4 linked regions of the Drosophila melanogaster genome follow. Changing the gene in region 4 together with the main gene of any one other region gives a genetic interaction. Each region holds a gene or a part of one and is shown on either strand. Other genes may lie near its edges. The genes, in order: Akt, Rheb, Tsc1 and Pten.

Region 1 (7,629 bases), on a different chromosome or scaffold from region 4:
TCCTTAGGTGCTAGCTGCGGAAGGGGGGCGTTGGTGGGTTAATGCGAAGTTCAAGGGCGTGACCAAAAGTCTGGACTAATTCGATTTGCACTGTTCTCTTTGCTGCGCTCTATCCAGGGGTGGATCTAGACAAACGTGCAGGGCATACCGTTCATTTCCAAACTTGAAATTACAACTTACATTTTTAAAATCAGTAACACAATTTTAATTCACTGAATAGTTTAAAGTACGGTATTTATGTGATTTGATTTTACAAAAACATTTAAGGTGCCCATAATCCACGTTTAAGGTCCCCTGGATTTCGCCCCTGTACTGCTCAGTCCTGTTCTCTTCGTATTGCTATCTCGCTCTTACAATTGCACAGCCACTTCGAGCAATGCACCCGCCCGCACAACAACCGTTATCTTGCCACGGTGTTTGTGTGAATGTGCACATTTGCAAATCACATAAACAATGGCATATTTCTTCACTTTTGCACCCACATTTCTTCTGCTGCGGTGGCGGCTTTACTTTTGTCATTGAGTCGTTGCCATTTGCCCTGTTTCTGTTATTATTTATTATTCAATTATGCGCTTTCTTTTCCACAGCTAGCATACATTTGTTTTGTTTTCACACGGTAACACACACACACACAAAGAAAGGGGGGCTCGTGGCTGCGTTGGTATTGATTGCTCGAGACTGCACTCTTCCCTTCTCTCTACACCATCTCTTCATATTTTTCATTTCTCCAACTAATTGAATGCAACCGATTCTGCCTCATTACTTATGCTCATGCTTTTCCAATTGCTCATATTCGGCGAACGCTCTTATTCGGCCACAGCCCACAGTGATACACACGATAGGCAGAAAAAGAAAGTTGAGAGTCAATAACACCTTTGTTTTTGCACTTTTCTACGCCTTTTTTGATAACACACACAAACATTGGGAGGGACTCACGCACACACAGTCGCGCTGGAGTCGTTATTTGTTTATTTGAAAGTGGCATGCTATGTTCTCCCTTCCGATTGGGTTGCAAGTTATTTACCTCGTTTTGTGCCAATGGGGCACTTTATTCGCTACTCGTTTTTTGTTTTTTTTTCGGATTCAAAGGAGACTTCGCGTTCTGCATAAACAAATCTGAGCAAGAGTGCCCAAAGAGGTGAATATCAAATTTGATCTGGGAAACTGGAAAAGAGAACTGACTTTTTCTAGCTACTTACACATGGTCATACTTATCAGAGTATCTACTTAGTGCGGACAGGAACCATATATAAAATTGATAGGGCTTCCAAATTTTTGATCAATTATGCTTTGAAAAGTTATAACAATTTGTCGATATAAGAAATAGTTTTGTATACATAGCATATAAAATAAAGTTTTTAAAAATGAATTTAATAACAATACAGCATTATTATTAATCTGCAGTTCATACATTCAAATTTGAAGTGAATTCTAGTTAAAGAGTCGGCCTAGACAGTCAGAAAACAGAACTATTGCCTTCTAAAACATTTAATTTAAATTTAAGGGATATTTGCGCGTTGTACAGCTCTTAAATAATGTCTCTCTCTGGCATCTTTCCACCGTAACAGTCGCCTAACTATCGCTAAAACAGGTGGCAACGCGGATCGAATCAGTTATCGAGCCAGTTATCGAAAAAAAGTGAAGCGTAAAAACTAAACGGTACTTGGAAAATTTACTTTGCCTGTGTGCGTGCTTCTGTTTATGAAAACTACGTTTTTAAGCATTTGCAATTGATGCAACGTTGCTTTGGAAGGCAAGAAAACACCAAGTGGAAACGCCCGGGTGGCGGAAATCGACTTCCAGTGCGCGAGTGCGAGATTGTGTGTGTTTCGTTCCGTCCTCTGGTGTCTGGCACCTTAACACAACAACAACTACAGCAGCAGCAGCAACAACAACAATAGCAAGCAGCAACAACAACACACGCACAATAATAAGAAGGCCTGTGACGTTGTCGCTGCCGTCACCATCTAAAGGAAAATACCAAAACGAGTAGGAAAACAAACCGCAGTGCAGTAGGGAAAGCAAAAGTCGGGTTTTTTTTTTTACAAAACTAGGTGGGTTCTTGTATTTTTCACCAGCATTTCCACAATTTCCATTTCCACGAAGTGATTTGACATGTTGCGCTGCTAGGTCGCCGCTGCCCACACACACTCGCACACTCGGTGGTTCACTCACTCAGCCACTCACACCCACACGGCCAGACAATCACACGCACACGGCCAGACACTCACACATACACTCACACTCATACACCTTTGTGGCAGACACGCGTACTGTCTGTCTCCCTCCCCCTCGCACCCACAGTCTGGCCTCACTCGCACTTTGCAATGCAGCCCTGTCTGTGTGACTGCCTCGGTGTGCGAGCGCCTGTCCGCTTATGCCTGTGTGTGTATTTTGTCGATTTTTATTTTATGTACATTTGTTTACAGTTTTAGATAGATAGCGACATTTGTACAGCCGGCGGCCATCCGTCGTTGACATTTTCGCAAATTGTAAATGAATATGCTTTTGCTTTTGCAGTTGTGCCAGTGTGAGTGCGAGTACGAGTGCGAGTGCCGCCTGCGAGTCCCCTGTATGTGTACATATGTATATGTATGTATTATATATGCATATACATAAGTTCATGAACAGTCGCCGCCGTCGACTTGTTTTGATTTAATTTCGCGCTAAATGCAATCGCGAACAATTTTCACTCGTATCGCCGTGTCGCTGCGTAACATGGCGGGGAATTTCGTTTGAAGCCGAAAGTGGCAGCAACAACAAGGCGACGATGGCGCCTACATCTGCATGTGGGCCAGTGACTAAGAATCCAATCCCATACCATGCCACACCATACCAACCCATCCAATTCGATACAATCAGAATCACAGTCCTCAATCCAATTCAATCCCTTTCTGGCGACGGAAATGCCGCAAATGTTTTGCACCAGCTGCTGACGCAAGCGCCAACTGCATTTGTCATAAACATGCAAAATGACAATAACAATTGTTTACTATCAGCGTGAGATAGGCGATGTGGGAAGTATATATCTGGATAGACTTGGCAGCCTTTTAGTGTCTGTTTCCCCTTTTTTGATAGCTAGCTCATTTGGGAACTCCATTTGTCCACTTTGACTAGTTTATGTCGACAGTTGGCGGATCAGTTAATATCTAGTACATGTTGAATCCCTGAAGGTAAAGGTGTTACTAGACGAACCCTCTGCTAAAGCCTTTTTCTTTTCGTCGATCGCATTCTTAGTTTAAGTATTTCAAACTCAGCATGAATATAAAGGATTCACTGTACTCCTCTTACAGGTCCCTCATTAGCTTGTCCCTAGGGTTAGTGAAACAGCCTCAACACGAATTACCTACCGTTTGTTCTTCAGCGGCGATCGACTGTGGTTGCCAGCGCCCCAGCGCCAGGATCTGCCTCTAGGATCCCGGAATCGCCCACCACCACAGGGAGCAACATCATTAACATCATCTACAGCCAATCCACCCATCCAAACAGCAGCCCCACCAGCGGCAGTGCAGAGAAATTCAGCTGGCAGCAATCCTGGCCAAGCAGGACCTCCGCGGCCCCTACACACGATTCCGGAACCATGTCAATAAACACAACTTTCGACCTCAGCTCGCCCAGCGTTACATCGGGTCATGCGCTTACGGAACAGACTCAGGTCGTAAAGGAGGGGTGGCTGATGAAGAGGGGCGAGCACATAAAGAACTGGCGCCAGCGCTACTTCGTGCTCCACTCCGATGGAAGACTGATGGGTTACCGCAGCAAGCCGGCAGATAGTGCCAGCACGCCATCGGACTTCCTGCTCAACAACTTTACGGTGCGCGGCTGCCAGATCATGACCGTCGATCGGCCCAAGCCATTCACCTTCATCATCCGCGGCCTGCAATGGACCACGGTAATCGAAAGGACATTTGCCGTCGAATCAGAATTAGAGCGCCAGCAGTGGACGGAGGCCATTCGCAACGTATCCAGCCGGCTCATAGATGTGGGTGAGGTGGCTATGACGCCATCTGAACAGACAGACATGACAGACGTGGACATGGCCACCATTGCCGAGGACGAGCTTTCCGAGCAGTTCTCCGTACAGGGAACGACTTGTAATAGCAGCGGCGTTAAGAAAGTGGTAAGTACCACTCACCTGGTCATTGACCAAGGGCGTGATCGAGCTGACTCCATCTTATCTCCTTGTAGACTTTGGAGAATTTTGAGTTCCTCAAGGTGCTCGGCAAGGGCACCTTTGGTAAGGTTATTTTGTGTCGCGAGAAGGCTACCGCCAAGCTGTACGCGATCAAAATTCTTAAAAAGGAAGTTATTATCCAAAAGGACGAGGTGGCCCATACCCTGACCGAGAGTCGTGTGCTCAAGTCCACAAATCATCCGTTCCTCATTGTAAGTATTGCTAGTAATATATAATTTACGTTAAAAAACTAATATATGTCTTCCCTGTTTTGCAGTCACTCAAATATTCGTTTCAAACCAACGACCGCCTGTGTTTTGTGATGCAGTACGTGAACGGTGGCGAGCTCTTTTGGCATTTAAGCCACGAACGCATATTTACTGAGGATCGAACACGTTTCTATGGGGCAGAGATCATTTCTGCTCTGGGCTATCTGCATTCACAGGGCATAATTTATCGCGACTTAAAGCTGGAAAATCTTTTGCTGGACAAAGATGGTCACATAAAGGTCGCAGACTTCGGTCTGTGCAAGGAGGACATCACCTACGGCCGCACAACGAAAACCTTCTGCGGTACACCGGAATACCTAGCTCCGGAAGTATTAGATGACAATGATTATGGCCAAGCGGTGGACTGGTGGGGCACTGGCGTGGTCATGTACGAGATGGTGAGTTTGTTGCATCTGCAAATACTATTAACAAGTATTAAAAACAAAAATAATTCCTTACAGATCTGTGGTCGTCTTCCGTTTTACAATCGTGATCATGATGTGCTCTTTACATTGATTTTGGTGGAGGAGGTAAAATTCCCGCGTAATATCACAGATGAGGCGAAAAATCTGTTAGCAGGCCTTCTAGCTAAGGATCCCAAAAAGCGTTTGGGAGGTGGAAAGGATGATGTCAAGGAGATACAAGCACATCCATTCTTTGCGAGTATTAACTGGACAGATCTAGTGTTGAAAAAAGTAGGGCACAGTAAATCTGTCAGTTACCTATTCGTATATATTAATCGAATTTAAAATGCTTACCGTAGATACCGCCGCCTTTCAAGCCTCAGGTGACATCCGATACGGATACAAGGTACTTCGACAAGGAGTTTACGGGAGAGAGTGTGGAGTTGACGCCGCCGGATCCCACTGGCCCGTTGGGCTCCATAGCCGAAGAGCCGCTTTTCCCGCAGGTAAGATCTAGTTGAAAACATTTAAAGTGGGGTTCTGTATGCTCATCCAATTTTTGGTTTCACCGCCACAGTTCAGCTACCAAGGAGACATGGCCTCCACGTTGGGCACCTCGTCGCACATTAGTACTTCCACAAGTCTCGCATCGATGCAATAGAACAAGTTTACAAACTTTTACCAGCACACATCATGTTCTGCTTCATCACCTATTACTATACTATACCTATAACACATAGAAATGGGCAAAAGAAAACAACAGCAAGAATATATTAAATATTAATTATACCATGATAACGAAGGCAAGCAAAGGGTTTTCTTGCTAGTTTATATACACCAATAATAAGAGAATTGAATTGATAGTAACTTATTTTTGTATAATGAGAAAGGGAACGTTGAACGAAAGGGCAACAGCCGAAGCCGAGGAAAATAATTTACTACATATGATTATACACATATATATAAATATATATATATATATATATATAATTATATATACAACTAAATATAACACTTGGGGCATAGCGCTTGAAGTGATTAGTTAATTTTAAACGCAAGGAAAACATTTAACCAAGCGACTTAGAGCGACTTAGTGCTAGGATAAAGCATGCATCATCGGATCGCATCCTCTAGGGGTCGCTTAAGCTGATTGATTATACAGATTATTCACGCAGACAGCACTCACACAGCCACTTAGCATATAGCGAACATGAAGTTTAGTTAACTTGACAGCAACAAATCGAAATACACATATTCAACAACCGCCCCCACATGCAACACTCGTATATATAAATTATTTATACTCCAAAGAAGCAAAAAAGAAACAGAAACAATTACAAGTTATATATAATGTTAAAATTGCCTCTAATGTGCTGTGCTTTATGCAAAACTACAACAACAGAAACAAACAAACTAATAGTTAATAAACGAGGGAAACATACATCAATGCAGTTTATAGGCGCCAATAATTAGCAAGCAACTAAAAGTTATATTCAGGCAGAAACATATTTCGAAACAATAACGGCAACAGCAAAATGATTACAATTGACGCCATTTTTTATTATAATTTTTTACGAAAAATATATATTTGTAAATATTTATAAAAAAAAAGCAAAAACTCAAGAGTAAATGCAAAAAAAAAACAAAGGATGTATGTGTCGTGTGGAAAATGGAAGTCACCATTTGAGGCCACAGAAAAGGTTTAACCTTTGACACAATAAAAAATGTATCTTTGTCATTTCATTTTTGGCATTGAAAAGTTCATAACAAGTTTTGTATACTTAGAGCAAGTCAGCAAAAAATATATATAAATCAACCACAACAGACTTACAAATAGTTCCAAAAGGAAGATTAAAAATTATATAAACAGAAAAAAAACCTAAAAGAAAATAAAGAATTTTTGATATTTTTATATGCGCAATAAAAACAAAAATCAAGAATAAAACGAAACAAAAAGTTATTTTATATTTCGTAAAGAAAACAAAATAAATATTGTAAATAAAAATTATTAAATAAAATCAAGTTCGGGAATTTCAACTGAAAACAAAGAAATTGAAAGCATAATCTCTCTTCTAAATGTTAAACGAAACCTATCACTCGATGATTACAATAAACAGCAAATCGAAAACGAAGGGATATAGAAACGAAAAGAAAATGCCAAAGAAGCGGCGAAGTTAGGTGGAACTCGAGGAGAACCGAGAATTGAGGAGCCAGCAAGTCGGGATGTTTCGGTTGGAGTCTTGGACATGTGACGATGATGGTTCCAAATCATGACTAGGAACGAACTAACTAGCTAAAGCCAGCCTATGCTGAGGAGAGATATCAGATAGCTCCGATTGAACCAATCTTTATATCCTTGAACAGCTTAAAGTCCTTGCTTTCTGCTCACCAAGTTTGCGGCTGACATCTAGGCTAGCCAATATCAATCTCAGATCGATCAAGCAATACATAGACAAAATATAGAACCCCTAAGCATGGCTTAATAGACATACAACCCGAGAATCGACTTCAACAAGCCCAATAACCCTTCTGACAGACTCGTTAGGCAAGTCTGCCAGCCAAGGGGCAACCAGCTAGAAATCTAAAGCAAAGACTTAGAAATCGGTTAGGGACATCCGAAGCAAATTGAATACTAGCCTTAGTGAACGTCAACATCTCTGGTATCCCAAATCGAAGCATTTTCTACCCGTCGAAGGGGACGAAAGAGACCTTTCAAAATAGTTGTCTAAGTTTACTGAGTTGTGTGAGACAATTTTTGGTTTCGATTAAAAAAAAAAAAACA
Region 2 (3,976 bases), on a different chromosome or scaffold from region 4:
ACCTCTGTTTATCGCACTGCTGGTTGCAGTTAGTCGCACCTGCGACTACCACCACCACTGGCAGGATGTGACCATCGGCGGGCTGATTGGCCTGTTTGCAGGCTATATAAGCTACACACAATACTATCCCTCCATCTTCTGCCCTGATGCCGGCATACCACTGGTCAGGTGGCCCAGCAGAGAGGGAAGCCAGTACCAGCGACTGTCTGGAAAGGACGACAATGGCAGTCGTGGTCCCCACCATCTCGATGGTGGGGATGCGGTGCGGAGACCTCTGCTCGCTGACAAGGAGGAGTCCAAATGGTACTAAAAGCTTTACGTAATATTATTGTGAGTGTTGCTTTCCCGTTTAAGGTTTTTAAACATATTAGACAATTTCTGATTTAAAAATGTGCTGCTGGTTTACCTCGTAATAGGATGGGTAGGGTTTGTTAATAAAAACTAAGCGCGTCAATTGCTAAACGTAAATTTATTGCTCATCTTTAGCAGCAACATCCAAATCTAATTTGCTACATCAAAGTGACCGAAACTAGCCTAAAGGACACGATATGCACACTCAGATTCAAGTCATGGAATTGAAGGCCTGCAGAAGCACCTGTTTTTCGCGCTCCTTTTTCTTAACTACGTCAAGACTGCGTTGTCGCCACGTGCTCTTGCGCAGTTTGATAGGCCGGCTGCCCACATAGCGGCCGTCCATCTCCTTCATGGCCCGTATAAAGTCGGCCGGTTCTCTGAAGCTCACGAAGCCAAATCCCTTGCTCTTGCCCGTGCGCTTGTCCCGCACCACACGGGCCCGCTGAAACGAGGGGAACTTGTTGAAGGTCCGGGTCAGGACCTCGTCGTTGACGTCGTTTCCCAAGTCACCACAAAAGATGCGGAAGTCATCGTCGGGCCAGTCAGCCAGCGAAGTATCCTCCCACACGGTGCCGCCAGCGATACGCACCGTCTTGCGGTCTTTCTTTTTCCGCTCTGTTGTCTGGAAGGATTGCAGCGCCGATGATGCGCGCGCTGCCTTAATGGCCTCCTCTGCAATGGGATTGGGTCCAGACTTTTCCGCCTTGAGCTTCTTCAGCTTCTGCGTTACGTCAAAAGAGACGGCGTTGATGTCGATGGAGGGCGCGGCGGCCACGGTGGGCACGTGCACAGACTGCCGGCACTGATAAAGTTTGGGGGCGCTGCTCAGGACTACGGGAGTGGCAGACATAGCCTTGGAAGAACCACCTCCACTGCCCGTAGGCACGAAGGTGGACATAAACGTGGGTGGAGGCGGCATCGGGGGCGGGGGTACGGTCAGACGCGATCCTCCATTGCCCTGGTGATGCTGCAGCTTGTGCTGCGAGTTTTGGTACGTATTGGCGGCTATGATCGGGCGCACCTGGTTGGGCACGAAGAGATTGCGGGCGGGGGGCTTCGAGATCTCCGCCTCGAAGCGTGAGAGCTCATCCTCGATGTTGCGACGCTTTGTACCCATTTGAAGTGGGGTTTTCTCTTTTAAAAAATCAAATCAAAGCAAGTTTTTACGAAAGTGCTGCAGAAAACTCGGAGTACTAAACAAATATCGATTTCGTTCCCAATCGATTGCACTATTTTTATTTTAAAGGCCTGTTTAGACATGTCCACAGAATCAGGCTCTATTTGCAATATATAACAAATAAAACAGTTATTTTAATATCATAAAACGAAGACATTTAATATGTTTTAACTATTTAAGAAAATAACTGCGACTTTTTACACTTGATTACGACAAGCACCTTTCCGAACGGGCCTTGATATTTTCTGCAATTGTTGACCGTTAAACTAGTAGACGATAGTGTAGTGTGACGGTTCCTCATTAGCTGGCAAATGCCTTATGTTAGTAGGCTAGGAGTGGTATTTCGGCTTCGTCGACACCAGCACTGATTCAACTTCAGAATTACTGTTTTCTTTTAGACGATCTGATAAATAATACTGGAATTAAAATCGCCGGAAAAGCTCTAGCTGTGATAGAAAGTATCCTCAGCAAGCAAAATAAACGCAGAAGCAATATTCCTCATACACACATTTAAAGAAGGAGCACGGGCATACCCACACAAGCGCACAAAAAGTCGAGGGGCGACAGCAAAAACAAAAGTGTGGAAAATCACAAAACCAATAAATTTCTCCATTTATTTCAAAGCACTGGGCCCCAGGAAAATGCCAACCAAGGAGCGCCACATAGCCATGATGGGCTACCGATCAGTGGGTGAGTTTTCCCAGAAAGTTCCGCCAGAAGCACTGACACTGTTGCTGCTGGCACTGGTAATTGCGTAGTATTTCGACAACAGCAAGAACTATGATCAATTGACCATAATAATTACGCTTCGCCCGCAGGCAAATCGTCGCTATGCATACAGTTCGTGGAGGGCCAGTTCGTGGACTCCTATGACCCCACCATTGAGAACAGTAAGTGTCACATCCCATTCCGTGCGGATTTCTTAGAAGCCAGGCTGACTCCATGCTTCGATAGCAGTAGCAATGCGTAATGATCGGTAATTCCCATTCGCAGCCTTCACCAAGATCGAGCGTGTAAAGTCGCAAGACTACATCGTAAAGCTCATCGACACGGCGGGCCAGGACGAGTACAGCATATTCCCGGTGCAGTACAGCATGGATTACCACGGCTACGTCCTGGTGTACTCGATAACCAGCCAAAAGTCTTTTGAGGTGGTGAAGATCATATACGAAAAACTGCTCGACGTAATGGGCAAGAAATAGTAGGCTTCTTCCCCGTGGGTTCCGCTTGAGAGCTAAGCTAATCTTTTTTGCCTTTCAGTGTACCTGTGGTGTTGGTCGGCAACAAGATCGATCTCCACCAGGAACGAACCGTTTCCACGGAGGAAGGCAAGAAGCTGGCCGAGTCCTGGCGAGCTGCATTTCTCGAAACGTCCGCCAAACAGAACGAGGCAAGTACCAAGACGAATCACACTAGCTGAATGCAACTAAGGTACTTCCTTCGCAGTCCGTGGGAGATATATTCCATCAGCTACTGATCCTCATCGAAAACGAGAACGGCAATCCCCAGGAGAAGAGCGGTTGTCTTGTATCGTAGGGCGGCTGAGTAGCTAAAACTACGGCCGAACTGTTGGAAATACGGCAAATCGCTATGGCAATACGAAAATCGATTATCTCTTATCTACACAGTTGGGTCAGCGTGCATGGCGGGGCCGTACCCTTTGTGCGCAGCAGGAAAATCTAAAAATCTAATAGACCTAGTATTCTTAAGACCACACAGCAAGTAACCAATATCAAGCGATCTGAATGCGTCCGCTAAACGCTGCCCAGCAGGTTTTGTGGTTCGCGTCTGGCGCAACACAACAGGTTTAAGTTAGTACGTTTTTTTTACAACAACAATTCAGTTACAAATTTCATATACAAATTCTGCAAACTTTTAGTTTCAATTTAAATATAATTTTTCAAAATACTATTCAAGATTGTATTTTAATGGTCAACATTTTCGATTGTGAAAAATATAGAGGTTGATTTACTAAAGTTACAAGTGCGTCGAGAAGACCTGCCAGTTGCAATTCCAAAAAGCTGGATTTACTTTATCTCGTCCCTATAACTGATTAAATAGGACCAATACCTTAATGATTTCTATAGATTCCCAACCGTTGTGAATTCTCTGGAGACCAAGGTTCAGCAAGTAAAAGAACTGGGAGGATCTCGGTATGGTTCTTAATAAGAGTAATTTCAAACCAAATTACTATTTGGATAAACTGAAAGACTCACCTGGCCACTCTAGCAATATCTGCATCTGTTAGCAAAAAAAGGGGTCTTTAAATTTTAATACCGCTATTTCTTATGTCACAATTGGTCGGACGAATTTGATTGAATTAAGATTTGGCTGGCTTAATATTTCTAAAGACTGATTATAGAAAAAAGACATAGAAATTATTTCGCATTAAACCGATTATGAATAAAAATATTTCTTGTCTTACTTATCTTAAATCTAAAATGC
Region 3 (6,602 bases), on a different chromosome or scaffold from region 4:
GCGCAGTGACTCCTCTAGCCGTTCGCACTTGCTTTGTTGCTTCTCCTGCAGGATCTTTAGGTCCTTAATGGTCTGGATGAAGGTATCGTGGAGGGCCACAGGATGAAAGTCCTCGCTGTTCTGGAGTTCATTGTTGGTGCGCCAAGTCAGACGCTCTATGAACTCGCCCACCTCAAAGGGTTCCTGTTGGTTATGATTAATAAATATAAGCCATAATCGGGCCTACGTGACCTTTGAGCCCACCTGTTCAAACTCCTCCATGTATTGGGATAGCATTTTAATGTATTATTAAGTTTTCGTATTTAAATGATCTGATTTAATAGGCGTTTCTTTTCTGCTTCTTCTTTCTATATTATTGTTGCTTCCGCTCAGCTGTTTCGTTTAAGGTTGCCACACTTCTCACTTTCTTTCAGCTGGCAATGTCGCTCGGTTTGTTTACGTTTTTGTTTGCTCTCTTAGCTAAAATTTAAATGTTTGGCGGTTGTTATATAACAAATAGTATGTTTACAATTAAATAAAATAAAACAATGCTTTTATGTTTGCTGATCTTAATCAAATGTTTATTATAATATGAATGCGCGTCTTACTTATTGCCTCGTATCAAAACCACTTTTTTACAACAAATTGCAATGTGCTAAACAAGTTAAAATTTCAAACATTAATATTTTTTATAACCTTTATAATTATTGCGTGGAGTCAGCGATTTATTAAACCTTAGTTACAGTTTTGAACTGAATATGAAAATATGAAGAACCAATAACTTTTTTTTGTAAATTTTCTGTGCGGGTTTTCCCAATAGACATTTGTTTAGCGAAGGAAAGCTAGTTCTTATTTGTTTTTACAAACTGCGTCTGCTGCTACTACTGCAGTTGATCCTGTTGCTGTTGCTGCAGGTGCAGGTGCGGATGCGGATGTGGGTGGGTGAGCGTGTGACCGATGCCGCCGGAGGTCGACGGCAAGTCCAAGGCGTGCGGCACGATGTTGATGGCACTGGCGGTGCTTGCCGAGGAGGCCAGATCCACGGCCGGCGGACGCACTTCGTCCTCGAACTGAGCGCCACCGGCCATGCTGTTCAGCACATCCGGAATAGTGGGCGTGTCCACTAGCTGGTGCAGGTTCTTCAGCTCCGTGGAGCGTAGGCTGGCGGATAAGCTCTCGCTCGAGGCCAGCGACGTGGATAGCGGTGAGTTGCGTTCAATGGATGAAGCTATGTCTGTGGGAGAATGCAATAGTAAGTATTCTTTAGCTGCGAAGCAGCTCTTGCACTCACCAGTTCTGTCCGTGTCCGGGGAACAGGTGTTATGACCTGTTGTTCCTTGCGGCTGCTGCATCATCATCATCAGCTTCTCCTCCATCTGCATAATTATCTTCTTTTGCACGTCATACTTCTTGTTCACGGACTGCAAGGACGACGATTTTTAAGGCTTATTACTCTTAATTGAAATGAAGTTACTGGTAAACACAGACTATTTCTTAAAAGTCCGAACTATTTCAGATAAGTATACGATTTTAAATATCAGCCCTACCTTAAACTTTTCTTCGTACTCATCCTTGACGGTGCTTAGAAGTCGCTTTTGCTCCGTCATGGCCTTCTCGCTGTTGGCTAGCTGGGCCTGCAGGTCGCTGATCTTGTGCTTCATGCTTTCCAGCTGTGATGTCTTCTCGTCCAGGCTGTGCCTCAGATCTTAATAAATAAACTGAATGATTAAACATCCGTATCATATAAACAATGAATAGGCACCCTTCAGTTCCAGGTTGCTGCTCTCTTGTAGCATCTGCAGTTCCTCGTCGCGGGCCCTGAAGTTATCGATCTCAGCCAGACGGTCGCGGCAACGCACTTGCACCTCACCCATGATAATAAACTCGGCCTCCAGTCGTGCCAGCTCCTGCTTGCACTGCAGCCCAATGTCCGCCTGCTGCTGGGTGTGTTGAAGCTCGGTTCCCAAACTGAAGACCTGACCTCGCAGAGACTCCAGTTCATAGTTCATCTCCTTGTGGCGCGCCAACTCGCTGGTGAGTCGCGTCTGCAGGTCATCGTTTGCCTGCCGCAGGCACTTCTTTTCCTCCAGTTCGTGCTGGTACTTAGCCCTCATTTCGCCCAGCTCCTCCTGGTGGATGTTCTGGCGCTCGTTGGCCAACCGAATGGCCTGATCCATTTTGTTTGCCAGATCCTTGTTCTTCGCATCGAAGTTCTTAAGCTGCTCCCTTAACCGATCCCGCTCCATTTCCAGGCTGCGCTTGTCCCTGCTTCGCCCCATGAGTCGTCGATTGCGCTCTGCGTGAATGGATCGACGGTAGCTTTCGTATTCCAGCTGTAGGCACATCAGTTGACCCTGCTCGGCGTCAAAGGACTCATTGGCCTTGATCGCATGCTTAATGTATTCGTCTAGAATATCTTGCGGGTACAGAAGGTTCCTTTCATAGTCGATTCTTTGCTCCTTGCACTCCAGCAGGAGTTCAATAAGCCAATTCTCGTACTGCGCTGGAGCACTGTCCAGTCCTTCCACCGTCTGGGTGGAGGCATGGGTGCAGCTTCTAGCCGTATCCTTGGGCGCCGAAATGGCCAGGTTCCGGCCGCTCCTCTGCAGGCGGCTGCCAGTCTTTTGCGTATTTCCATTCTCCCCTCTTTGTCTTTGGCTCGAACAATCGGCCTCGTCATCATTCTCCTCCAGATGCTGCTGCCGCATTCCGGAAAGGGCCGAGCAGGATTTGGTTCGTCGCATTGGGTTCTCTGCCTCAGTACTCCAACTTGCCTTCTTTGCCGCCGAACTTCTGCTGTCCGCACAGGAACCATTTCCACTGTAGCTTGCCATACGATTGCGGCGCTTCTTTGCCAGCTGGTGCATGGATCGGCTGGTGGGCATATGAAGTCCACCCACACTGCAGAGGTTCCTATCCGTCTCGTTGCACTCGCCACAAACTGCAGCGACCTCCTGCGTGACAGATGGATAGACGGAACCACCAACAAGGGATAAATCGGAGTTAATTTCTGGCAGGCTGCTTGGACAAGGTGTGTTTACAGATCGCTCCACGTTATGCCTGTCCTGGATGACCTGCGACAGGCGACGGTCATAGGCAGTTCCTCTGTTGACCTCCAGATATGAGTGGCTGCTCTCCTCCGCCTCGCGAGAGACATCCGGGAAACTGAACTGACTCTGCTGGTCCTTGCGCATGGGTGAAGAAGGCTGGCTTACGGCGAAGATAGCTCTCACAGCATGCGAATTGACCGCACGTCCCGGCTGCTTGATATCCCTCATATCCTTTAAGGGGGTGGTTTCCGGTGTGGCCTCCACAGCTGCTTCGGGCGGTGAGGAGCCAGTCATGCCAACCATAAGCTGAGAGTTCATAGCCGGTTGTAGTGGCAAAATAAACGATGTGGTGGGTGTAAGCGGTATGCCGCTACTGGTCGTGGCAATCTCGTTATGCGGACTCCAGATCGGACCCACATCATCACCCGAGGCAAACGAATCGAAGCGGGTGTAGACATTTCTCGATTGCTGAAACTCCCTCAGCTGATAGCTGTAGTCCGTATTCGAGGTATTTGAAGTCATGCGACTGTATCCTGGCGTCATGGGATACGCATAGCTGCCGTCTTCGTTGCTCGTCTCGGGCAAGAGGACGGGCAGCGATAGGTTGGCGCACTCCATAACCACGTCATGCGGCTCCATCTCCTTCCATCGCGTATTGTTTACCTCAGTCTCTGGCGTGGCCGTCACCAGCATGGGATGCACTCGCACAGTGTTCAACAGCGGCTTGATTGTATGCTGGAAGATGCCCCCGCCGTTGCCTCGCTTGATGAACTCCACTAAATAGGCAATAAAGCTGCACGGATACATGCCGTACAGGCGGTGAAATAGCATCTGTAGACCCAACTGCAGGTGGACGAGCTTCTCGTCCGGCAGTTTATTGCTATTCTGCAGCTTCCACGAGGCCAAATGCCCGAACACCTCAAACAGATCGTTAAGAAAGTTGGGCACAGAATTCGGTATGATCGGCAGCAGAGTAATTATGCACAACAGGGCGCTCATCAGCGGAACTATCTCCTTCTCGTGCTGTCAGAGAAATGGAAGTGATGCTGAACTCGGACAAAATTGTAAACACCCATAAACTCACCGTCATAAGCTTAAAAACACTTTTGATCAGCCGGTGTTTCTCGATCTTGTACAGCCAAGTAGGGTGATGGCGCACAATGAAGCAGAACACCTGGAGGCTCTGCACTCGGTGCTGCGACTGCTTTAGGCAGTCGTCCAGCTTGTCAAAGATGTACCCATCGTGAGGTGCCTGGGCTTTGACCAGTACCTCCAAAATGCGCTGAGATCCAGTTGTAAAGAAGTAGTCCAGCATGAACTTTACCACCCACTGCTCCTTGTCTGTGGGGAAATGGTATGTTGGAATAGGTGGCATATTAACTGAAACTGGCGAGGACTCACTCTGGGATAGCAACTCCACAAGCTTGCGCTTGGCCTCCTCGTTCTCCAGCGTCATGTTGGACTCCAGGTCACCAATGATCTTCTCAATCACCATGACGGCGGCTTTATTGGTTTCCTGTCGCTATGATTGATTTTTCCGCCCGCCCTCGGTCGACTGTTCCTGCTCCTGCTACTCCGCTCCTGGTCCTTCTACTCCACTCACTCGTCGTCGTGGTTGTCTTTTGCAGAGCTGCGTGTGCTTTTTCTCGTCTTGGTCGCTGTGAACTGGAGAACAAGGGTTGGCATTGAAATTCCCACTGCGTTCGATGCACTGCACTATTGTTTCGGTTGTGGAGTGCACATTTAAAATGCTTACCTCTGCTAAACTCATATTTTTTTACATGTTTGTCTTGAAAATGAAAAGGTTATTTTTTTGTGATATTCCTCTTGCGCTGTTATCGCCAGCCAATCGATGGTTTTGTCTGGCAACGCCGCTGGCGAATGTCCGGCAGCTTTGGCCGCAATCAAAACAACATCAGCTGTTTTGGCGCAACTTTTTGCCAATTCCGGTGCGAATGTTATAATCGATGTAAAATAATGCATTACTCAATAATCCGAAAACTGGTAACGGCGCCAAAGCTAGCCAACGTTCCCAAAAGGTAATTATGTGAATTAATATTATAAGGATTCATTCCAACGCTCTGAATTTCAGGAAATGGAAAAGCGTTGTGGGTTTGGAGGTGCACGCACAGATTGCCAGTGCGTCCAAACTGTTTTCCGGCAGTGGCACATCCTTTGGAGCACCACTTAACTCTTCGGTGGCGTATTTTGATGCCTCCATACCGGGAACATTGCCAGTGAGAATAGGTACTCTCACTTAAGACGCCATCATTACATTGTATCCTCTGCTTTTAGGTTCTCAACAGAAAATGTGTGGAATCCGGCATTAAGACATCACTTGCTTTGGGATGTCGGGTGAACGAAGTGTCCATGTTTGACCGCAAGCACTACTTCTATGCAGATTTGCCTGTAAGATTCAAATTTCAGTTTACACCACGCTAAGCCTTATAAGTAATAAACTTCTCCTCCCCAGAATGGCTACCAAATCACGCAGCAGCGCGCCGCTTTGGCCAATGATGGAAAAATGACTTTCCCCGTGATAACACCAGGCAAAAAAGTTTACTACAAGACCGCCAAACTACTGCAGTTGCAATTGGAACAGGATAGTGGTAAATCTCTGCACGATGATTATCTCAAAAGGAGCCTGGTTGACCTTAATCGTGCTGGACTTCCTCTAATGGAGCTGGTTTTTGCACCAGATTTAGAAACGGGCGAAGAAGCGGCATCGCTGGTCAAGGAATTAATACTGATACTAAGGCGTCTGCAGACATGCAGTTGTAAAATGGAAGGTGAGTCAAAAGGGATTTGTGTGCCTTTTTTTAAACCGAGTATTTTTTATTGTAGAGGGCGCCCTGCGTGTGGATGCCAACATATCCATTCACCAAGAAGGCGATCCCTTGGGAGTCCGCACCGAAGTAAAAAACATTGGCTCGGTTCGAAGCATTTCGCAAGCAATTACGTATGAAATTAATAGACAGCTAGAAACTGTGGCTAATGGCGGTGTAATTACAAATGAGACTCGCAACTGGGATGCGGAGAACCGGCGCACAGTGGCCATGCGTGACAAAGAGGTGCTGCAGGACTACAGATTCATGCCGGAGCCGAATCTACCACCCCTTCATGTAAACCTAAAGCCTGGATCAATGTCAACAGAGGATTTACTTTCAGTGGCTGCTCTAAGCGAGGAAATTCCAGAATTACCAGAGGACACCAGGCAACGTTTGGTGGAGCAGCACAACCTGAATGCGGAAACTGCCATCATTTTAGTGGTGCGTGCTCTGATCCTTTTTGAGTCAACAAAAAATTTGAAATTGCAACACTCCTCGATTTTATTTCAGAACGAACCTATTCTGCTGGATCATTTCTTGAGCATTACCCGTAGTTTAAGTGATTTGCCCAACAAAGTCATTTGCAATTTTCTTATAAACGATTTGTTGACCTATTGCAACAAATTGAACTTAGATGTGGAGGATTGGTAATAATAGGGAGTAACATACCTAATGAATTTTACTAATTTATTGTGTTCATCCTAATGTAGCTCCATTAAGGCTGATGATTTGAAAGATATATTAA
Region 4 (7,199 bases):
CTTTCTTAAAAATTTCCGAATAATTAGTCATTTTTAAAATTAGATGTCGACGTTAAGATGCGAAATTCTGACCGCCCAGTTTACGTCAATTTAACACAATAATATATGCCCGTCAAGATAGCGTCAATTTGGACAACATTTTTGTGTTGGGTTTATTGGAACTCGGAAGTGGAACATATGTTAGGGGAATTATGGGAAAAAGAGTAAGAAAAATAACTGGTAGCACTTAACGTAGAAACTGGAATAATCATACTTTGAATATTTATTATTAATCTGATAATTACCTTTGTGAATCCTGTATGCTTTGCACAACAATTGGCAAATTTCAAGAACCTCTTATTATTTATTTATCTTAGCTATTGCCTCATTTGAAACTATTAGTTAAATTCCAATAAAATATGAGATATCCATTTAATCGCTGCACTTTTCGTGTCGAAAACTAGTTTCGAGATCAAAACTATAAATTTAAGTATTTTTTTCTAAACGTCAATTATTTCTCCCCCCTTACTTTAGACAAAAACCCAAAGTTCGAATGAAATCTACAATACAAAATGTACATGAGTTTATTTAAAATAATTGTTAAAACTACTTAAATAAATATCATACAGTATATTTACAAATTCGAATAGATTAGCCAATTACTTAGCAATTTTAATTACTTTGCTAAATCACCAAGAATTATAAGTCCGTAATAAGCATTGATTACAGGTATGTTGATTCACCTGGAAATAAAGAAAAATATTCATTTATTAGTTTAGATTTTTTTGCTCAAACAAGCTTAATGAATTTATTAACTAAAACTCAACGAGAATACGATAAAAATCAAAATAGCATGAATGAATTAAAAGCAGAAGACTTTTGATGATGATGAAACACACAAAAGACACATTCTGCTTCAGGATATTTAGTTTTCAACAGCAACAGTGAAATAGTCGAATTAGTCGAAGTTCGACAGTTCGGTGCTAGTTTTGTTAAATGAATTGAGTAGAAGGACAATGGCAGTGCCCAGAGTCACATACTTATGAAGCGGTGAGGGATGTGTGATGAAAATCGATGCGGATACTGATTAAGGATTGCCGGTTAGTTGACCATTCGAGCCGCAGGCATGGGCTCCCACTCACTCACCTATGTACATTAAATTCTAAACAGATGTGCAGAGCGCAGCTGTAATCGATCGTTTCCCCGTGAAAGGAAGTGGATCTGTGTAAGCCTGTCTCTGCTAGTATACTCGTAAAAGTCTTGGGGACATATAAATCCAGTTCTGGTGGCTTCGTTTTATACATCAAAATTAAGAGATCGTTCAGCCAGAAGTCTTTTAAATCGTCTCGGGTGATTATTCTGGCGAATTCAATAAGTCAATAAGAATATAAATGTGTGGACGATAGCATATGTCGATAAAGGCTATCTCTTTTAACAAATCTTAATTTGAATACTCATACAATACAATTAATTACAAAATCAAACCGATAATGGTCCAGAAATCAATTGAATCGAAACTCTTAGTATTAAATAAATGTGAAATTAGAACAATTGTTCGGTATTACTCGATTAAAACGGATAGATTTTTAGTGAGATCTGGTCATTGAGAGTATAGTGTGCAGCAAACTCACCGGATTCCCAATCTTCCTCGCCATCTTCGGTACCACAGTTGAATTTTGGAGAGGATTGTTTACATGTGATGTATGAATTGTAATTGATGTTCTTATTTTCGTTTATACTTCGAGTGTCAGAGGTGATATGAACTTCACTATTCTGCCATTTGATTAAATCAGTTTTCTTAATGGACGGTTGATTAAATATATGATTTCGTTTTATTTCCTCTTTTGTGGAATCATTCAAGCTTGGTAAAAGAGTTTTGCTATTAGGCTGTTTGCGTTTGCACGCAGTCGAAGTATTTTTTGAATTGGTTGATGTGTCGTATTGAATTTTAGTCTACGAATATTAGATTTATAGATTAAGCATATTGATCGGCGCAAAACGTGTTTTCACTTACAACTATATCCTTATGATCCAACGTTTCTATTGTTTGACTTTTCGTTGTATTATCATTGACGATCGCAGTTAAGACTTTTTTTTCGGCATAGCAGTTTGGAGACAAACTGTCATAGTCTGATCTTTCGAAATTTAAAACATTTTCGTTTCTCTCTTTTTCGGACGCTTCAGCTTGAACATCATTGCTAAAATTCTCTGCCTCAAAAACGATTGAAATCTGAAAAGAGAGCAAGCACATTTATTTGGTAATTTCGCAGCATCTATTAAAATGCTTCGAAATATCCTACCTTGAATTCTTCTGAAAATCTTTTATGTTCACTGTCTTTATGTACATCATCGATTTCTGATTTGCTTAAAGTGTGTATATATTTGTTAACTGTTCCATCGGACTCGCAAGCTAAAGAGAATGTTTAATTAAATCGTTTATTTAATGCATGTGCGATATTAAGTATACTTACGTGAATAGTTTCGTACAAAAAACGTATTTAGCCAAAAGTGACAAATGATTTTATCTGGGGATTTTTTTGTGAGTTCAAATTTTACATCGCCGGAAACTGGTATTGATGGTTTAATGGTCAAAACAAATGATTTTTGAAAATCAATCGGCAAGGTTTTCAGTCTCTGCAATTATAAAAAAAAGAAGAATGTTACTGCTGGTTAGAAAGGTATTCGAAAAGGAACACTTTACTGCACTGAAATCGTGTGAAATATACATTTTTAAAATGCTGTCTATAGTCTATCAATGATGTATCTATATACTTTATATACTTACATCTGGCTTTGCATTTTCTGTGGCTGAGTCGTGTAATACAGATATTGAACATTCTACCATGCCTAAGTTTTGCACACAACTGGACTCCGAGAAGCGTATTTCACATACCTGAGATACAAAAAATGCATATTTAGATTTTGTACGGCGCTGAATGTGGCGCTGCTGCTGGAAATACTCACGTTAAGGCTTACTTTCGAATATGGAACACTTGAACAAACTAGTTTGGAAAAATACTGAACATATCGACGCTGAGATGGGATTGTCACACCTTTTCGGTCCTTTGTACGCTTCTCATCATACCACGCTAATGCCTCGTCGGCGGATTTTTTAATTCCACTGAACACTAAATATGCGCAGATCATGGTACCTGAAATGAAAAAAAACTGGGTTAGTTTTTTAGCCCTACAAATATCGAAACAAGATCATAGTGTGCCATGATATTTATGAACTTTCGCACAAAATGTTGAACACATTTCCTACCGGTTCTGCCCTTTCCAGCTTTACAGTGCACGGCTACAACATTGGACGAATCTTCCTTGAGCCACATATCAACATCACTGCAAAATCGTTGTATTAACTCAATCGTTGGAGGGTTATGATCATCGAACGGATAAACAGCTACTCTCTGTAATGCGAAATAGTATATTTTACATATTTTACGCCGACAAATAGAAAAAGTTCAACAAAATTACCCCGCGAAATTTAGCAACGTCGTAACTACGCTCCGAGCATAGGTTATAGATTTTGTAATGCTGGGCATGATTCTCTTCCAATAGCTTAAAGACATCTTCCAGACGGTTTCTGAATAGGCCCTCTAGTTTATCCGGTGCTGGATAGCCCATGGCAATTATGTTATCATTAATGTCTGTGGGTAAATAGATAATTTAATTTAATATTCCAATGATTGCGGTTGATTCAATAACTTACATGTTAAATCCAAATCGTATCCTTTTTCTTTGTATCGTATACGTTTTTTACTCACTACATTGCGTATCACGTTGGACATTAACGAAATAGTGTTGGCCATATTTTTAAGGTTTAAAGACTTGTCTTTTTTATTTAAATTAGATTAGCTGCATCCATTCAAATGTATTTGGGAACCAGTGCTTGTCTTCTATTTACTCCATTGCAAAGTGTACGTTCTGAAAGGAATGTAAAGCATATTAATTAATATGCATATGATTCTAACTAATCTGTTTATTTTCCACAGCAAGTTAGAAAAGTATTGACTCAATTCAGCTTAGTTTTCTACTGCGAATTCAAACCTAAATCCTTTAACAGCAGACAAGTTTCTAATATGGTCAATAGAAACTGCTTAATTATACTGTGCCAAGGCATTCTAAAGGGATATATGGAACTAATATAATGGGCTTGTTTTCTCCCGATCCACTTAGGTTGTTCTATATAAACTAATACTTCTTACTCGGCTAAGATATATTCCTGTTTGCAGTTCTTGCTTGGATACATATTTAAGCACGTACATACACATACAGACAGAGGTGCACTCTCTATAGGAATAGTTCCCTACTTGTTTTCCCAGGAACAGGTAAAGAGTTAACTTCAGTTCGGTTTATATATCCACAAATATCCTTAGCACAAACATGCACACACTCACACACACTCGCACATGCACACGCACATATGTACATACACACACACACACACACAGGCAGGCATTTGCGGCACACACGTGAAACATACTTACATGTATCGGCATATTATCAAAGATAAACAATATAACAATCTTCCGCTTGGCATAATACATTCAGATTGGTTGTCAAATGGTCCTGGTTTTAATTGTAACTGGCTAACAGAACAGAGTTCTTTTATTGAAGCCCAACGCACGGCGATTTCGATACGAATTCGAGCAATTAAATGGGTTCGTTGGCTGAGGGGGCGATTTTCGAGGGGTGAAAATCAAAATCAAAATCCGTTTTAGAAACACCGAGCAGTAATTTCGAATTACTTAACATAGCGACTGATTTGGCAACTGTTTTTTGTTTTATCTCGCCGAGTAGACACACTTTTTTGACAAACTGTTTGCGAATGGTGGTATGTATTGTAGTTAGAGCACATATGCATGTACAGAAATATGCAGATATGGATGATGGGCATGTGCACATATATGCACCGATTTTTGTGCATTTATGTACATATTTGTTTAAACAAAAACATATTTACAATTCCACAGACATTTTACACATTTACACTATCAGCACCACACGAATATATGTGCCCACTGTTTAATACATATGTATGTATGTGCATATGGGTATGTTTAAGTCAATAAGCTAAATGTTCCAACCGAGCAGGTTCTGGCTACTGCATTTCAAAAAGCTATCACATGTTTTGCTCTAAGCCACGAAATTTCAAATAAAACTTTTCAATTATGTGTAAAAGTTAAACAGTAGCGCTCATGCTCTATTAAATGTATTATTAATTTATCAAGCGTGAGATCCACAGGGTGTTTACGGCGAGCGATACCACCACAAGATTTGAGAAAATGTACATCCAGTGCTATCGACGTGCGTGGTGCCCTCTCGATTAAATTGTGTATGCAAAAACTATCGATGGGTCATCGATACAACCATTTATTTTTTAGCACTGCGGTTTTAAACAATATGTAATTATCTATGCATTTATTTTAATCTTATTAAACAACACACATATAACTTCATGCTACCAAAAACATGACTACCAACACATCTTTTACTCGAGTTCTACCCACGAAACTAATATTGCTACAGCTATTAAAAATTCCATTTCTTGCAAAACCAATATTATTTTTGGTATGCAATTTTTTAAAACGCAAACATTTTTAAGATTTACGAATACCTTTTATTTATTTTTTTTTCCAGCCATTGAAATGCTATTGAAAACTATCAGTTTGGGTAATACCATTAATGTAATCCTCTCTTTTTTTATTTACAATCGATAAAAGTGCAACAGGTTTTTTATGGGTATTCGATTATTTTGACATAAATATGATTGGAATTTAAAGTTCCTTTATTCAAAAGCAAAACCTGCTATCTGAATAATTTAAAATTTTAAAAAATTTTCAAAACTTTAAAAATTACACTCGTATCTTAAGGCTAGTTGGTTTCCGCAAAATGAATTCTTGGTACCACTTAATTCTCAACTGTTGACTTTAATTCGTAACTTGAATAAATCAAAATAGGCCAATCATCAGTAAATGTTATTGAAGCAAAAAGGACTCGAAGACGAAGAAATAAAAACAAGTGTTTTGCCGTGTTAACCAATTTCTCATTTATTTGTCTCGCTTTTTATTTGTTTAAAAAGTTTCTGCAGTCCATCGTTTAAATATTTAATAGCCCCTTGGGCTAACTAACTAATCGTCGTTATCATAAGTATTGCTTAGCTATGTTTTGAACTTTAAGCAATCTAATAAATCTGAAAGTGACGTTAAGAGATACTCCAACAAATGACCTGTTAATTTAGTTAAATGAAATAAAACATAAACATTAAAACCGATGCGCTTAATATAGTTGCTTGCAGCATTGGCTAGATTTTTGCCGTTTCGACCCAACTACAATAAGTTATAGATTTGTATAGTATTTGTCTTAATAGGTAAAAAGTTAGATCGATGGATAGTACACATGCAATATTTCTTACCAAAACGTAAAGTCAATGATTTGTTTGTAAACACTTGGCGGTTATTGCTTTTTAGGTTTTCGAGATTCAGAAAACAAAGCAGATTTTCGAAAACGCTTTCTTACCAGTTTCGGACTGCTGACTGCTTCATTTCGTAGGGTTTATTACGATGGTTATAAGAGGTTCTGTAAAAATGAACACCTACACAATTCCGAGTTCTCAAAATTCTTTAATGTTTTAGACCAATTATTTTGCGAAAGCTTTTATGTATACGAGAAACTGTTCCGCATTTCCTTTATTAAAATTGCGTACTTCTAGATTTTGGTTTGACGTTGTTCGAGTCTTAGCGTATTTTTCTTACTAGTTTTCTACGTTATAACTTAAATTTTACGTGCTTGCAATTGTCATGTTAATGGGTATTCGTTAAATAAATAATGAAGAGACGACGACTATCAGTTTTTTGTTTTTTCTTTTTTTTTTATCATTCTGTTGTTGTTGTTGATGTGGGGGAATGAGGGAATCTGTTGGACGATCGAAAACGATCGAATGCTACGATTTTAAATGTTTGAGTCTGCGTTTTACGGTCGCGCTTAAGTTATTATTTATTAATCTTTACTCATAGGCAATCCTTAAGCAACTATGAGTGGTGTTGTCATTAGAATCGATGGTTTCCCACCGGCGAGCGGGACCTGAAGCGTCCGGCCGACTGACCACCAGTGCGTCCGTAGCTGGCGCTACTTCCGCTGCTGTAGCGGCTGCTGTCGCGTCCACCGCCGTAAACCTCGCGGCGATTGAAGCCGCTGCCGCCGCCCTCTCTGCCATT

Evidence for each region.
Region 1: of Pten (region 4) and Akt, changing one suppresses a phenotype caused by changing the other (phenotypic suppression), as found in Drosophila melanogaster (6 studies listed by BioGRID).
Region 2: of Pten (region 4) and Rheb, changing one suppresses a phenotype caused by changing the other (phenotypic suppression), as found in Drosophila melanogaster (2 studies listed by BioGRID).
Region 3: of Pten (region 4) and Tsc1, changing one suppresses a phenotype caused by changing the other (phenotypic suppression), as found in Drosophila melanogaster (2 studies listed by BioGRID).

The regions. Positions count from the first base shown.
Region 1 is NT_033777.3:16,097,607-16,105,235, forward strand, and holds the start of Akt (Akt kinase), read left to right. Parts: upstream 1-1,621; 5' UTR 1,622-2,054; intron 2,055-3,153; exon of another isoform or gene 3,154-3,173; intron 3,174-3,293; 5' UTR 3,294-3,337; coding exon of another isoform or gene 3,338-3,580; coding exon 3,581-4,120; intron 4,121-4,188; coding exon 4,189-4,386; intron 4,387-4,451; coding exon 4,452-4,841; intron 4,842-4,904; coding exon 4,905-5,138; intron 5,139-5,206; coding exon 5,207-5,353; intron 5,354-5,424; coding exon 5,425-5,508; 3' UTR 5,509-7,629. UniProt on the Drosophila melanogaster protein: Serine/threonine kinase involved in various developmental processes. During early embryogenesis, acts as a survival protein. During mid-embryogenesis, phosphorylates and activates trh, a transcription factor required for tracheal cell fate determination.
Region 2 is NT_033777.3:5,567,051-5,571,026, forward strand, and holds Rheb (Ras homolog enriched in brain), read left to right. Parts: upstream 1-1,870; 5' UTR 1,871-1,989; exon of another isoform or gene 1,990-2,155; 5' UTR 2,156-2,172; coding exon 2,173-2,221; intron 2,222-2,349; coding exon 2,350-2,421; intron 2,422-2,524; coding exon 2,525-2,732; intron 2,733-2,791; coding exon 2,792-2,921; intron 2,922-2,977; coding exon 2,978-3,067; 3' UTR 3,068-3,441; downstream 3,442-3,976. Other genes in the region: CG12746 (uncharacterized protein), read left to right, coding at 1-310; CG2931 (uncharacterized protein), read right to left, coding at 563-1,471. UniProt on the Drosophila melanogaster protein: Binds GTP and exhibits intrinsic GTPase activity. Activates the protein kinase activity of TORC1, and thereby plays a role in the regulation of apoptosis. Stimulates the phosphorylation of S6K through activation of TORC1 signaling.
Region 3 is NT_033777.3:24,128,588-24,135,189, reverse strand, and holds Tsc1 (Tsc1), read right to left. Parts: upstream 4,884-6,602; 5' UTR 4,786-4,883; intron 4,695-4,785; 5' UTR 4,525-4,694; coding exon 4,431-4,524; intron 4,371-4,430; coding exon 4,114-4,370; intron 4,053-4,113; coding exon 1,742-4,052; intron 1,685-1,741; coding exon 1,527-1,684; intron 1,401-1,526; coding exon 1,271-1,400; intron 1,214-1,270; coding exon 861-1,213; 3' UTR 536-860; downstream 1-535. Other genes in the region: Sec10 (secretory 10), read right to left, coding at 1-183, 244-276; GatB (Glutamyl-tRNA amidotransferase, subunit B), read left to right, coding at 5,007-5,068, 5,122-5,266, 5,325-5,438, 5,503-5,818, 5,874-6,298, 6,368-6,504, 6,568-6,602.
Region 4 is NT_033779.5:10,255,785-10,262,983, forward strand, and holds Pten (phosphatase and tensin homolog), read right to left. Parts: upstream 5,266-7,199; 5' UTR 5,070-5,265; exon of another isoform or gene 4,801-5,069; 5' UTR 4,470-4,800; intron 4,204-4,469; exon of another isoform or gene 3,907-4,203; 5' UTR 3,792-3,906; coding exon 3,692-3,791; intron 3,630-3,691; coding exon 3,457-3,629; intron 3,390-3,456; coding exon 3,245-3,389; intron 3,132-3,244; coding exon 2,944-3,131; intron 2,873-2,943; coding exon 2,765-2,872; intron 2,614-2,764; coding exon 2,451-2,613; intron 2,390-2,450; coding exon 2,280-2,389; intron 2,210-2,279; coding exon 1,994-2,209; intron 1,933-1,993; coding exon 1,611-1,932; intron 1,339-1,610; coding exon of another isoform or gene 1,334-1,338; exon of another isoform or gene 1,126-1,333; intron 723-1,125; coding exon 703-722; coding exon of another isoform or gene 669-702; 3' UTR 535-668; downstream 1-534. Other genes in the region: CG5676 (uncharacterized protein), read right to left, coding at 1-31; Rsf1 (repressor splicing factor 1), read right to left, coding at 7,032-7,199.